Linked DNA regions of Caenorhabditis elegans. The protein of the gene in region 1 interacts with the protein of each later gene in a pairwise test. Each region holds a gene or a part of one and is shown in the gene's direction. Other genes may lie near its edges.

Evidence for each region.
Region 2: the proteins of asp-2 (region 1) and uaf-1 interact in a two-hybrid assay, tested with the Caenorhabditis elegans proteins (one large-scale study listed by BioGRID).
Region 3: the proteins of asp-2 (region 1) and mes-4 interact in a two-hybrid assay, tested with the Caenorhabditis elegans proteins (one large-scale study listed by BioGRID).

Annotation. Positions count from the first base shown.
Region 1 is NC_003283.11:9,201,498-9,205,251, forward strand, and holds asp-2 (Peptidase A1 domain-containing protein), read left to right. Parts: upstream 1-1,579; 5' UTR 1,580-1,581; coding exon 1,582-1,942; intron 1,943-2,150; coding exon 2,151-3,022; intron 3,023-3,091; coding exon 3,092-3,148; 3' UTR 3,149-3,201; downstream 3,202-3,754. Other genes in the region: inx-10 (Innexin-10), read right to left, coding at 3,419-3,704.
Region 2 is NC_003281.10:1,073,507-1,078,230, reverse strand, and holds the start of uaf-1 (Splicing factor U2AF 65 kDa subunit), read left to right. Parts: upstream 1-1,675; coding exon 1,676-1,905; intron 1,906-3,755; coding exon 3,756-4,051; intron 4,052-4,724. UniProt on the Caenorhabditis elegans protein: Necessary for the splicing of pre-mRNA. Binds to the polypyrimidine tract of introns early during spliceosome assembly.
Region 3 is NC_003283.11:13,432,501-13,439,181, reverse strand, and holds mes-4 (Histone-lysine N-methyltransferase mes-4), read left to right. Parts: upstream 1-1,636; 5' UTR 1,637-1,668; coding exon 1,669-1,684; intron 1,685-1,733; coding exon 1,734-2,000; intron 2,001-2,051; coding exon 2,052-2,308; intron 2,309-2,357; coding exon 2,358-2,932; intron 2,933-2,980; coding exon 2,981-3,284; intron 3,285-3,714; coding exon 3,715-4,065; intron 4,066-4,343; coding exon 4,344-4,745; intron 4,746-4,798; coding exon 4,799-4,930; intron 4,931-5,295; coding exon 5,296-5,448; intron 5,449-5,500; coding exon 5,501-5,740; 3' UTR 5,741-6,132; downstream 6,133-6,681. Other genes in the region: srd-17 (Serpentine Receptor, class D (Delta)), read left to right, coding at 6,468-6,652. UniProt on the Caenorhabditis elegans protein: Histone methyltransferase. Dimethylates 'Lys-36' of histone H3, a specific tag for epigenetic transcriptional activation. Plays a central role in early development and is responsible for all H3 'Lys-36' dimethylation until about the 40-cell stage.

The DNA of each region.
Region 1 (3,754 bases):
GTTTTTAGTACGGTTCCGACAGTGCCAGTGGTATTCTGGGATTTGATACTGTTTCATTTGGTGGAATATCTGAAAGTCAATTGATTGTTCCAGACACTGTTGTTGCTACAGCAGTGTGCATTCCTTCATTTTTTGAGCAGGTCGTAGTTTTTAATGGATCTCAACTTTTCAGCTATTAAAAATATGTAAAAACTTTAAATTGTATCATAACAATTATTTTATTTATAGGAAGATATCGATGGAATCATGGGTCTCGGATTCTTAGCTAATTCACAACAAAATATTTATCCTCCGTTTGTTAATGCAGTTGGGCAAGTTAGCGTTTTAATTTTTAGAAGAAAACACAAGTTTTAGCAAGAAGTTTAAAAAAATGGAATCTTGTTTCTGTCAAAAAAATATTTGACTGCAGAAACTGGTTGATCCAATATTTCATGTTTATCTTGGGAATCGTCCAAATAGAGCTGGACAAATCACTTTTGGCGGACAAGATACTCAGAACTGTGCAAAAGTAAAACAGTATCACCCATTGACGACAGGTGCTGCTTATCAGTTTTATGTAAGTCGGCTTGAAAGTATACAACAGTTTTAAAGACAAATCACAAGATCATTTCAGATGACGTCAGTATCGTCCGGAGCTTATTCTGCAAGGAATGGATGGACTGCTTTATCAGATACAGCAAGCTCTATTATCTATGGACCCAAAGCTATCGTGGCTGGAATTGCTGATGCAGCAGGAGCCACTGTATGATTAAATTGCAATAGCATATTCTTCCAAGTTATGTAAAATTTCAGTGGGATTCAAAAAACGAAGTTTATCTAATTGATTGCGAGCCAAAAATTCTTTAAGTTAACTTCACAATTGGTAGTACAATTTACCAAGTTTCTCCTCAAAACCTCATTCTTCCGTTCCGTAAGTTTTCTTAAATAATAACCAATATCGATTGTACTTCAGCTGACAGCATTGTTCAAACTTGTCAAATGGTCTTCCTGCCATTTACAAATAACGGATTCGGGCCATCGTGGGTGCTAGGGAGTCCATTTATTCGCGACTTTGTGCATTGTATGATATGGGAAACCAACAAATCGCATTTTCTGCCAGCTTGCATTAAATTTATATATCATAAAAGCTTTTCATGTTTTTACGTCTACTAATAATTGTAAAGTTAATTGAACTAAAATATAAACATAATTCAACAAATAAAGTTGGTATACATTCAATAATAAAAACTTTAGGATGGTTCGAAATGTCTATGTATGCTTGAAAATTGTTACTTGTTCTGGAAGTCCGTCTTTTCGTTACTACATCATTTTAGAGTCAAGCGAAACTGATATCATTTGTAAAAATACATTTTCAGGCTGATTCTCAACTTTGATGTCCTTTCATTACACCGGATTTGTCTCTTATCTTACAGTTTACGAGCACTTATCAATAGTTTCTCCGCGTCAATGCCCACCTCATTAAGATAACCGTTTTCGTTATGCAATTCATTTTAGTTCAGCATCAACTCATTTCACTTTCCTCGTTTTCGTTCCTGCTACTTTCAATTCTAGTCCATTTTCCAAATCAAAATCATTTCAGGTATGCAGAACCTTTTTTTGTTGCTTGCCCTTGTGGCAGCAGCTCTCGCTGCAGTTGTGCAAGTTCCACTCGTGAAAATTGAGCCATACAGAAACCGATTGATCCGTGAAGGAAGATGGGTTCAGTACAGAAAGGATCGTGAGATTCGTCGTTTCATGATGAACAAGCAATCAAATGATATGTCTGTTGGACAATACGTCAACGATTACGAAGATGAAGCATACGTCGGAAACATCACCATTGGAACTCCACAACAACAATTCAAGGTTATTCTTGATACTGGATCATCCAATCTTTGGATCCCAGACATCACATGTGGAACTAAGCCAGAAAATTGCTCAACCGTTCCAGCTTGCCGTGGAAGTAAGTTTTCAAATCATAATATGTGTCGTTGAAAAGTTGAAAAATTTATTGCCTTATCTAGCTGTCAAATGTCTCTTTTGAAGTATACGCGTATTTCTATGGAACTATTAAACTGCAATGTAGTCTCGTGTGGTATTAAAGTTCATTTCTTGAATTTTGCTCTCATGCAATTGTACAATTTGATGCATTAATTGCAATTATTTTATAGTTATTTGCCAATTCGAATGCGACGACCAAGCTTGCTGTGGAGCTGGAGCGAACTACACCGATTCTTGCTTCTACCAAAACAAGTTTGACGCTTCCAAATCTTCCTCATACAAGACCAATGGAAGAAACTTCATTATTGAGTATGGAACAGGATCCGCCAGAGGATTCCTTGGACAGGACACTATCACCTTCGGAGGAATTGGAGAACCACAACTCGCTGTTCCAAACACTGTTTTCGGACAAGCCACCTCACTTGCTGCCTTCTTCGAGGGACAACCTCTTGATGGAATCCTTGGACTTGCGTTCAAATCGATTGCTGTTGATCAAATCACTCCACCATTCATCAACGCCATCAACCAAAACCTTGTTGATCTTCCACTTTTCACCGTCTTCCTTGAGCATGAAGGAGATCAAAACGGAGTTCAAGGAGGAGTCTACACTTATGGAGGAATTGATACAAAGAACTGTGGTCCAGTTATCGCTTATCAACCATTGTCCTCTGCCACTTATTACCAATTCAAGATGAGTGCTATTGGATCTGGAAGCTATCACTCTAGCAAGGGATGGCAAGTCATCTCCGACACCGGAACTTCTCTCATCGGAGGACCAAAGGCCTACGTTTCTGCTATTGCTGACGCTGTTGGAGCCACATGGAGAGATGATTACGGTGTATACATCCTTCCATGCTCTGCAAAGATCAACACTCTTGATATCACCATTGGAAACCAAGTATACAATATTGACTCATCCAACACCATTATTCCACTCGGAGATGGAAGCAACAATTGCATCTACGCCATCTTCCCATTCAGCAGTGGAGGTTTTGGACCATCATGGATTCTTGGAGATCCATTCATTCGTCAATATTGTAACGTAAGTACACAACGAAACCTAATAAAAAAACGACATAATTTTTTTTAATTTAAAAGTTGAAATTTTCAGATCTATGATGTTGGAACTCAACGTGTTGGATTTGCTAAGTCCCTCCAATCGAAATAAATTTTAACGCCGTCAATATTAATATTATGTTCATTATGCATAAATTTGGTCAACATATTTTTTGTTTGGAGTGAAAAGTGAATTGTGAGATATGCGAATTGTGAACAAAAATGATAATGTGTAATTACCGGGAAGAACACGAAGGTATTAAATACAACAAAACGGAACTAGAAACGGGAAGAGGTAGAGATTAGACTGCAAAACCGCAGATTCACGAGTTTAGATCAAAATATAACTGGGTCATGGGAAATGTGAACTGAAATGAGAGAATTATTTGAATGTACTCATCGATTGTTTTTTGGTTTGGTCAGTGTCAGTTGCAGTGGACACAGGACGGCTATCCGTTCCTCTTGAAAGACTTGGTGTACGATAATAATTTGAATACTGGTTTTGGTTCTGAATTTGATTTTGATTTTGGTAGGGAGTTGGGTTCTGATTTGTGTAACAGTAAGGTGGTTGAGTAGCATTTTGTTGATTCTGCTTCTCCTCGTTTTTCAATTTTCCGTCGGATTCATCGTCAATATAAGATGCTTGAACCGCAATTGGCTGTCGGTTTCTGAAAATAAAAAAATTAAAATTTGTTCCGAAGTATTTAACATGCTTCAA
Region 2 (4,724 bases), on another chromosome or scaffold:
CCCAATTTCACATAATTCTTGTCAAATTTCACACATTTTCAGTGCCTTTAAGCCCCGTTTTTTTGCTATAAAATTGCAACATTTTTCCTGTAATTTATTGGATTTTTGTGTTATTTTTTCTCTCGTTTTCAGCGATTTTCAGCATATCTTCATCGATTTTTTGCAGATTTTCAGCTATTTTTTTATCGATTTTTTTGGGAGATTTTTGTCATTTTTCACCTAATTTTATTGATTTTCAGCCTAATTTTGTGTGTGCTTTTACCCATTTTTCTATTATTTCCATCATTTTCCCCGAAATTTTATAGATTCTACCTATTTTTCAGCAAAATCTCATTTTTCAGCGATTTTTCATCATTTAAGCTATTTTTTATCGATTTTCACCGAATTTTCAGCTATTTTATCAGAAAAATCTCAGTTTTTTCCGGCAAATTCACTCAAATTTCGCCTATTTTAGCGAGGAGCTCTTTTTTCCAGCATTTTCACCGAATTTTCTTTTTTTTTCGTAAAAAAATCACCAAATTTCCTCATTTCCAACCTATTTTCTCCATTTTTTCGCGGTTTTTCCCGAATTTTAAACAATTTTTCGCCAAAAAACCCCAAATTTCTTCATTTCCAACCTTTTTATTCCATATTTTCGCCATTTTCTCGGGATTTTCAGCTATTTTTTCCAGAAAAACTCCTATTTTTTCGGCAAATTCACTCAAATACCGTTTATTTTCTCACAATTTATCGTTTTGGAGCTATTTTTCCAGCATTTTCACCGAATTTTAAGCAATTTTTTAAAAAATCACCAAATTTCCTCATTTTCGTCCAATTTTCTCCATTTTTTCGCGATTTTGAGCAATTTTTTCCAGAAAAACTCCAAATTTTCTCACTTTCACCCTATTTTTTTCCATATTTTCGCCATTTTGTCGGGTTTTTCAGCTATTTTTTCAGAAAAACCTCCATTTTTTCGCGATTTCCACCGAATTTTCAACGATTTTTCCAAAAAATCGCCAAATTTCCTCATTTTCGCCCAATTGTCTCCATTTTTCCGCGGTTTTCCCCTGATTTTCGGCTATTTTTTTTTTCAGAGAAACTCATTTTTTCGCGATTTCCACCGAATTTTCAGCTATTTTTCCATTAAAAAAACCCATTTTTTCGTGAATTTCTCCGAATTTTCGGTTTTTTTTTTCAGAAAATTCGGAAAAATTGGAATTTTTCACTGAAAACTCTGAAAAATTCAATAAAAATTGGATATTTTTACTAAAAACTCGGGAAAATTCGTGAAAATTGCCGTTTTTCACGTGAAAATTCGAGAAAAATTGAAAAATGTGGAATTAGTATCCAAAAATGCTCTCGGAGCCCAAAATTCAGGAAAATCCTGAAAAAATTAACCAATTTTACTCAGAAAACTGCAAAATTTTTTTTTCAGTTTTTCTCGCAAAAATGTGCTAAACTCTCAGATTAAAATTCAATTTTCCGTGGCAAATGTGCTCTATCGGTGATTTTGGTGTGAAAATTCCAAACTTTTGCATTAGAAATTACAAAATTTTGGAATTTTCCACCCGAAATTGCTCACAGGAGCACATTTGACCACTTTCCCGGGGAACCTCTGCCCAAATTTTCAAATTTTTCCATCCATTTTCTCCGGATTTTCAGCTCTATTTTTTAAAGAAAATTCCCAATTTTCCAGATGAGTGATCACCAGGATGGCATGAAACTTGAAGATATTGAACGCCAATTTTTGGACGTTGCTCAACGTGAAGGAGGTCTCGAAGCGATTCAGCCGACCACTGGACCACTGGAAAATGAAGAAAATCTGAAATCATCGACTGGTGGTGGTGGTGGAGAGGATGATAATGATCGGAAAAAGAGAAAACGATCGAGAAGTAGAGATCGCGATACGAGAAGACGCTCGAGAAGGTGCTTAAGCTGGAAAAAATTGCATTTTTTGACGGAATATTCGAGAATTTTCGTGGAAAACTCGGCGAAAATCGAGTTTTCCGCTAGAAAATTGACCCAAAATCGGATTTTTAGGAGGAAATTTTGTTTTTTTTTGGCCAGAATTACGCTGAAAATCGCTTTTTGCATGAAAAACGGCTTAAAAATGACTTCAAACCCAGAAAATCAACATTTTTAGAGCAAAAATTCGAGGATTTTCGTCGAAAACTCTGCGAAAATCGAGTTTTCCGCTAGAAAATGGTCTAAATTTGAAGAAAATTGACCCAAAATCGGATTTTCAGAGCGAAATTTGATGATTTTCCATGAAAAACACTACCGAAAATCCCATTTTTCCTGCCAAAAAACTCTTTAAAAAATCGATTTTTGCTTGAAGAAATCCACCAAAATTTTCATTTTCTTTGCCAAAAATCTATGAAAAATCGATTTTTTCACAGGAAAAGCGGAAAAGATGCAATTTTAGCTGAAAATCCACCGAAAATTCGCATTTTTTACTTTGAAAAATCGCAAAAAATCGATTTTTCCTTCCAAAAACCTCCAAAAAATTGCAATTTTAGCTGAATTTCCACGGAAAAGTCAAATTTTCTGTCCAAAAGTTTGCAAAAATTCGATTTTCAGTTGGAAAATTGCGTTTTTTGGTCAAATTCCACCGAAAATTCCCATTTTTTAACCTAAAAAGTTGTAAAATATCGATTTTTCCTGCCGAAAACCCCGAAATTTTCAGTCGTGGAAGCGAGAAATCGCAATTTTAGCTAAATTTCCCACGAAAATTCCCATTTTTTTAACCTAAAAAGTAACGATAAAATCCATTTTCCTGTTCAAAAACTCGCCAAAAATAGATTTTTTAATTAAATTCCACCAAAAAAATTCGCATTTTTCCGCCCAAAAACCTCCAAAAAGTCCCAATTTTAGCTGAATTTCCATTGAAAAGTCTAATTTTCTGTCCAAAAAACCGCAAAAAATCGATTTTCCAGTGGAAAATTGCGTTCTTTGGTCAAATTTTACCTAAAAATTTTGAATTTTTACAATAAAAAGTGGCGGTTTTTACTCAAATTGTACTGAAAAACGCAATAAGAATGGTTTTTCTGTCCAAAAATTTGCGAAAAATCCATCTTTCCGCCCAAAAACCTTCAAAAAATCGCAATTTTAGCTGAGTTTCCACGGAAAAGTCAAATTTTCTGTCCAAAAGTTGGCGAAAAATCGAATTTCCAGTGGAAAATTGCGAAAATTTACATTTTTAACTTAAAAAATCGATTTTTCCTTCCAAAAACCTGCGCGAATCTGACAAAAATTGCAATTTTTCTGCATGAAAACTCATTTTTCTAGCCAAAAAAGTGCGCAAAAATCGATTTTTCCCCTGGAAAATTGCGATTTTAGCTGAAAATCACTGAAAATCCGCATTTTTTAACCTAAAAAATCGCAAAAAATCGATTTTTCCCGCCAAAAACCTGCGAAGCTGCCAAAAATTGCAATTTTTCTGCATGAAAACTCATTTTTCTAGCCAAAAAATCGCGAGAAAATCGATTTTTCCCGCCAAAAACCTGCGAAACTGCCAAAAATTGCAATTTTTCTGCATGAAAACTCATTTTTCTAGCCAAAAAATCGCGAAAAAATCGATTTTTCCCGCCAAAAACCTGCGAAACTGCCAAAAATTGCAATTTTTCTAGCCAAAAAATTGCAAAAAAAATCGATTTTTACACTGGAAAATTGCGATTTTAGCTGAAAGTCACTGAAAATCCGCATTTTTTAACCTAAAAAATCGCAAAAAAATCGATTTTTCCCGGCAAAAAACCCCAAAAACCCCCCATTTTCAGTCGTGATCGTGGAGAACGTCGTGGTGGTGGAGGTGGAGGTGATCGTGATCGTTCTCGATCCCGTGAACGTCGTCGAGGCGGTGGTGGTCGTGATGAGCCGAGACGTCGTGGAGGTGATGATGAAGCCCGTTCGCGCCGTGAGCCGGAGCCCCAGAAGCCTCGTGAGCCCAAAAAGTACCGATTCTGGGATGTTCCGCCGACTGGATTCGAGACAACTACACCGATGGAGTACAAGAATATGCAGGCGGCTGGACAGGTTCCACGTGGATCTGTACAGTCTGCAGTGCCCGTTGTTGGTACGGAAAAATGGAATTTTTCGCCTGACAATTCGGAAAAATTCGAGAAAATTGGCGGTTTTTGCCTGAAAATTCGGAAAAATTCGAGAAAATTGGCAGTTTTCACTGAAAATTCGGAAAAATTCGAGAAAATTGGCAGTTTTCACTGAAAATTCGGAAAAATTCGAGAAAATTGGCAGTTTTCACTGAAAATTCGGAAAAATTCGAGAAAATTGGCAGTTTTCACTGAAAATTCGGAAAAATTCGAGAAAATTGGCAGTTTTTGCCTGAAAATTCGGAAAAATTCGAGAAAATTGGCAGTTTTCACTGAAAATTCGGAAAAATTCGAGAAAATTGGCAGTTTTCACTGAAAATTCGAGAAAATTCGATTTTTTCACTGAAAATTCGGAAAAATTCGAATTTTTCATCGAAAATTCGGAAAAATTCGAATTTTTCATCGAAAATTCAATAAAAATTGGATATTTTTACTAAAAACTCGGGAAAATTCGTGAAAATTGCCGTTTTTCACGTGAAAATTCGGGAAAATTTGAATTTTTCACTGAAAAATCGGAAAAATTGGATTTTTTACTGAAAATTCGGAAAAATTGGATTTTTTCACTGAAAACTCTGAAAAATTCAATAAAAATTGGATATTTTTACTAAAAACTCGGGAAAATTCGTGAAAATTGCCGTT
Region 3 (6,681 bases), 4.2 Mb from region 1:
CCCAAAAGTTGTCTTAATCAACGAATTTCCGCGAGATAAATTACTAAAATAAGGATTAAAGGGTGATAATTTCAGAAAAACAGAAATTCAGCAGCTGTGACAAAGAAAAGTGTGCGAAATTTTAGATTTTAGCAAAGTTTGGCTCTTTTTTTTTCGAAAATTTGACCGGCCATAAAAATGTTTGGAAATTTTTTGTGAAGTCTCATTATGAAATTCGGTGGTTTTGGACCAGTTTTAGTCTATTTAAGCAAAATACCCACAAACTGTACTCCCCCTTTAATGTACACGCCTTGAAACATATTGGTGCATTTTCAGACAATTTTCGAGTCAAGCCAAAATTGTTGCAGAAATTTTCCAAATGCTCGAGCAAAAAGCTTCAAGAAATCTCAAAAATGGAACAATCTGCGTAGAAACTTTACTATTTGCATGATCTTTATGTTTCGTCGGATACACGAAAATTATGAAAATATGGTTTTTGACAAAAAACAACAAAGCCAAAAATGCAGAAAAAAACGACATAATGCCGTCATAATGTCGGCATTATGCCGTTATGCCGGTCATTTTATTTTTCGGCATAACGGCATTTTCGGCATATGCCGTGAATTTTCAAATCGGCATAACGGCATATGCCGTGCTCCAAAAACCGGCATTATGCCGGCATCGGCATATGCCGAATGCCGAATGCCGCACAGGTATGGCGAGAATGATGTGAATATAGGAGACCCGAAGAACTCGGGGGATGTCCAATTGGGGGGATTACCAACTCGGGGGATTGGCCCCGCCCACAGAACCGTGGCTTGCAATACGCCCATTTCTGCAACTGCCGCACGGTTTTAAAATTATTTTTTCTTGTTATTTCTCGTTCTATTGAGAAAAATACAGTTTTAAAACCGTGCGGCAGTTGCAGAAATGGGCGTATTGCATGCCACGGTTCTGTGGGCGGGGCCAATCCCCCGAGTTGGTAATCCCCCCAATTGGACATCCCCCGAGTTCTTCGGGTCTCCTTATTTACATAATCAAATTTGCAGCAATTTTTTGGGATTTTGCAAGCGATTTTCTTTGCATTTCCCGTGATTTCGAACCTTCTTGGCATATTTTTTAAAAGGAATGTTCATAGTTTGCGGAAAACGGAAATTCAAATTTCTCGCGGTCTGAGGCGTCCATAGTGCAGTTTCTTCGCCTTTTTTCTATCAAAATTCAAAAGTAGGTGGGGCCTGCAGTTTTTCGCTTTTTCATTGCTCAGCTTGAAATTTTGCAGCCTCTGATTCGTTGGAAACGCCCAATTTTTTGAAACTGACCAATTGCGAAGCGAAAAACTCCCTCGTTTTCCCCTCTCACTGTAGACGCCTCGGACCGCGGGAAATTCCCGTTTTCCGCAGCCTATGGACGCACAATTATAAATTTTTTTCTTAAGAATCTCCATTAATCACCGTTTTGATAGTTTTCCGCTGTTTTCCTTTAAAAATGCATATATTTCTCAAAAACTAAACAATTCGCGCTTCCGTCATTTTGGAGTATCGTTGTAAGGCGCGACTTTCGAATGTGTCCTCGATCAGCTTGAATAACGTCTCATTTTCTGTTTTTCTTTTATTAATACTTGTCAAAAAGTCGATTCATATTCTAATTTCATTTTCAGAGTTGCTTACTTCTCGCGCTTGGTGCCAAATTATGCTGCCGAGCTCTGGTGAGTTTAAATAATCGAAAATCAGGTCGAAAAATGCATCGAATTCCAGGTGACTCCAGCAAAGAGAACTGTGCTCCACAGGACGGTATCGTTGAGAAAGAAGGACCAAATAAACCTTTTAAAAAGAAGAACGTTAAACAACGGAATGCTACTCCACAAGGCGCGGGTTCCGAAACCTCATCCAATGCAGAAGACAAGCAAGAAGAAGCACCGATTCTAACGAATGCTCCCAAAGACATTATTTCGATGCAAATACAGGAAACGAAGGCATTTCTTAGTGAATATGAGGAGTTCGTTGACACAGATTATCCAAAAAGTATTTTCATTAATTAATTCCAGGCAGTCCATTAAATTTTCAATTTTCCAGCTACCTTCACCCACGTGCCACGAAAGTTTCTGAGTGTTTCGCCATTCACCCCGATTGAAGCCGACGCGGAAGGAGAGTTTCTTCCAGATGCTGACTCAAAATGCGTGATTTGCCACGAAGAGAAGGATAAAACCGGAAAATCTGATTTGATCACATGTCATGGATACATCAATGGAGAAATGGACGACGGCAAGCGTCTCTTGGGAAATATACCAATGTTTCCTTGTCGTAGTAAATTTCACGCGAGTTGTATGATCGTAAGCTATTCGATTATTTTTCTTCATCAAATATCGTGTAAACTTTTAGAATTACAACAGTGGCGGCTTTCACTTTCAATATGCAGCCCGACTCGAATGCCAAGCAAGACTTCTGTGCCCTCTTCATTGCTGCAATAGTTGCAATTTGGACCATCACAAGCAATCGGCTTATGTTGGAGATATTGCAGAATGTGCTCTCTGTCTCCGCGCTTTCCATTTGACGTCGTGTTATCCATCAGGTGGCCGAGATTTGAATGTTTCGATAACAATTGGTGGGAAAGTGGAGAAGTTCGAAATGATAATTTGTCCAGCACACTATCTACCTGGTGCTGATGTTCAATTCTACAATAAACATAAAAAAAGAAAAAACGCCGTCACTGTTGTTCCGAAAGCGGATGTTACAATGAAATCCCATATCAAAGCGTGTTGCGTAATTGGATGTGAGAAATCTTCGAATTCAAAAACAATCATGTGCAAGACTTGTTGCCGATCGTTTCATTCTGGATGTCGAGAAGTGGAAACGCTGAATGGAAAACCGATACCAGACGATCAATGCGAATCGTGTGTTTGTGGAGATCCGATTCCGCAAAATACATTGATTCTCGCGAAGTGGACGGACAATTCGTGCGTTTATAATATCAGAATTATCAAATTCATGTATTTTCTATTCAGATTCTGGCTAGCATTAACACTCGATTGGTACAAGTACCCTACTGGAAATCGTGGTAATATCAACTTTGAACGTCTTGGATATACTGTTGTCCAGTGGCTGATACCCCAAGAAAATGATAAAGAGAAACAACCTCTCATGTCAATTGTGCCGGTCTCGGATATCGCCCGTCTTACCAAGAATTACTTTTCGTTGGCAAAGAATTCGACGCTTAGAAACTTGTGGGAAGAGAAATATGAGGAACAAGCAGATACTGCGTTGAAGAGATGCCCGTACGTGTGTAAAACTGTATTTGGAAGACTGAGAGTGAGTATTCTACTGATTCTTCAGGAAATATCTAATTCGGACTATGGTTTTGTATTTTTCAACGGTTTGGAAAAAGGCTTTTATTCAGCTAAAATTGCGGAACCGACGAAAGTTAATATCTCAACCAACGGAACATTACTTTTAAAAAATTAAAAAAACAAAAAAGTTCTGAAATTTGTCAGATCTGCAATATTTGAGATTTTAGCTGAAAAAATGTCATTTTTTTCCAAAATTTTGAACCGTCTAACTTCTTTTTGGAGGAAAATGAGAATGTCTCATTACGAAATTTGGTAGTTTTAGACCATTTTGGGACAAAAGTGCAAACAGTGCTGCAGAAAAATTCAGCTAAAAATTGCCGAAAAACTTAACAATTATTTTCTTACTTTTAACCGATTCAGATTTATTTATAGCAATTTCTTCATAATTCCAGACATCTGTGTACTACAAATGCGAACCAAAACTGGAAGAGTATCACAACAACGAAGTTTGCAATTGTGAAGGAGCTGACCGCTGTACAAAGCTGTCGTGTCAATATCTCGCCGATGATTATGAATGTCCCCCGAGTTGTTCGAAAAAGGGCGTTTGTCATAATCGTCAAGTTTCCATGGGAATAGTTAGCGAGAAAATCAAACTGGCAGCCACTTTGTGTAAAGGATACGGTGTCTTTGCGAAAGGTCAAATCGAAAAAGACGAATACATATGCGAGTACGTTGGAGAAATAATCGATAAAGCTGAAAAGAAGAGGCGCTTGGATTCGGTTTCAATTTCGCGAGATTTCCAGGTAAGGAAAAAGTTTTTTTGCGATAAAAACACGAATTTTTACTTTTTCTTTTAACCGAATTTTAGAACAAAACGTTCTGAAATTTTCTCAAAAAAAAGTTACGGCGATTCAAAGTTTTGGGAAAATGCCTATTTCCAGCTAAAATTTTATATTTTGCCAATTGTCATTTTCAGAAAAAAATACGAAATTTGGTAGATTTGGGCTATTTAGGTCTAAGAAGCAAAATATCAGAGTTAAGTTATCAACGTATAACTTTCCAAATACTCTTTTTTTTCAAGGCGAACCATTATATGATGGAATTGCACAAAGGATTAACCGTGGACGCTGCCAGATACGGTAACATCTCCAGATACATCAATCATTCTTGCGATCCCAACGCTGCATCTTTCGTTACAAAAGTGTTCGTTAAGAAAACCAAAGAAGGCAGTTTATATGATACTCGCAGTTATATTCGGGCAATTCGCACTATTGACGACGGCGACGAGATCACGTTCAGTTACAATATGAACAATGAGGAGAACTTACCAGACTGTGAATGTGGAGCTGAAAACTGTATGGGTACAATGGGAAAAGCGAAACGCGAGAAACCGGAAGTGGCTGATAGTTCCGAGAAAGCTGCTAAAAAGAACAAATCGTCCAAGAAGAAATCTGTAAAAAATCAGAATAGAAAGAGCCAGGAGGTACCAACTTTTTTTCTAAGTTTCAACATTTTGATTTTATTTCTTATTTTCAGGCCGGAAAGAACGGAACCGCATCTAAGAAATCAGAAATTTCTCCTTCGAAACCATCCACAAGCTCCGCGTCGAGCACTTCCTTCGTCCAACAAGCATCATGGCCAATTTCCCAGAATAAGAAAAATTTAAAGGTATTTTTTGGAGATTAAATCGATCAATTGCTGCCAGCAATGATGTCGGTTTTTCGATTTTTCACTAAAATCGAAAATGTTCGTTTTCACGAAAAATATCTTTCAAAAATTTTGTAATTGTTCTTCTTTTTAGAGAGAAATTTAAAAAAATGTTTTCTTATTTTATTCATCAACATAAACATAATTTGATTTTAAAAAAAAAGAACTTTATGGTTAATTTTTAAAACATTTTTTTCGAGTTTTTTCGGAAATAGAAAATTTTAATTATTCGATTTTTGATGGCACCCTTGGTTGCTAGAGTTAACTTGGTCTAAATCGAATTTTCAATTCAGGTACATAGCCATTAAACATAATTTGTTTTTCAGAAGAATTCCAATCAACCTGTAGCCGACACCGGATCAACATTGAGTACATCTACAGAGTTGAATTTCCACGAAAAACCGCAAGAACTCTTGAGCCCTGTTTCATCGCGATCGCGCGCAGCTTCATCTTCAACACCACGGGCACAAAAATCAAAGGTACGATAATCATATTAGTATTAATATCGATTATATTCGATTATATTCACAGAGCCGTCGAGATGATGTGGAAAGTGAAGCGCCACCTGTGAAACGAGCTACGCCATCATTGCAAACAATTCAAGAAACCGGAAAAGCGATAGAGTTTCCTGCAACCAAGTCGGCTATCACAAAAGCACGAGCGTTGTCGACACAATCAGTTCCATCACCTCATACTGTGGAGGTCAAAGTTAGAGCAATATCTACTCGTGGACGAGTTCAAAAAGAGACAAAACGGTTTGAACCGATTTGAAAAGTGAAATAATATGCTGTCTCGCCCAATTGAACTCTTTCCAATAGTCTTCCAAGTACTAAATTATGATTTTACTTCAATTAGTTTCAATCAACAGTGCCCTCATTCTTTTTAATCGTACTATGAGTTTTTCCTGGACTGTCGACACAATTTTTGGAAACGCTGAAATTCATTTGACCAACGTTCAAAGAATAACGAAGACTTTCCTATTCATCTTTTTTGAAAATTATTTTCACACTAAACTAGGGGTTTTATTATTGCTTTAACCATTGCTTTCATTCACTTGTCATTTTTTTTTCCCTATGTGTTCTTTCGTTCTTGTTACTGCGTCCCATCATATCGATAAATACGACTTTTTTTTCTCATCTGTAATAAATACCTTTGCAAATTACAAAACAGAGTTAAGCGCTGCTTTATGACGATAAAGAGAAACTGGAGAAGATTAAGAAGAACACAATGGAACGACTTGTTTTGAAAAAAGACATTGGAGTCGATGAATCACTGCTAAAGATTTTGATTCGGAAGTAAAAAAATGCACATTATTGAGAAACCACGTGTCATTTAATTTCCCTATGCACAATAACAAAGGATCTTCGGATAGACTTCTTGAAAGAAGACTGAAACCATTTGAGCGGAAGCGATAATTCATTCATTAATTATTTTATGTTCGCTTGTTATACGACAAAATTCTAAAAATTTCAGTCTTGCACCATTTGCCAATTCAATAATGCACGCGTTCTTTGAAATATGGCACTGTATATGGGCTTTACTTGGATGCTCATTCAATTTAATGCTCATTTACATGGCTATCTATAAATCACCGAAGACAATTCGTTCGTATGCAACTTTGATTATCAATTTTGCTGTTACCGACTTTTTCGAGTGTGCTTTGGATTTGTTCATCCAAATTCGGTAAATTTCAATTTATTCGTTAATTCGTT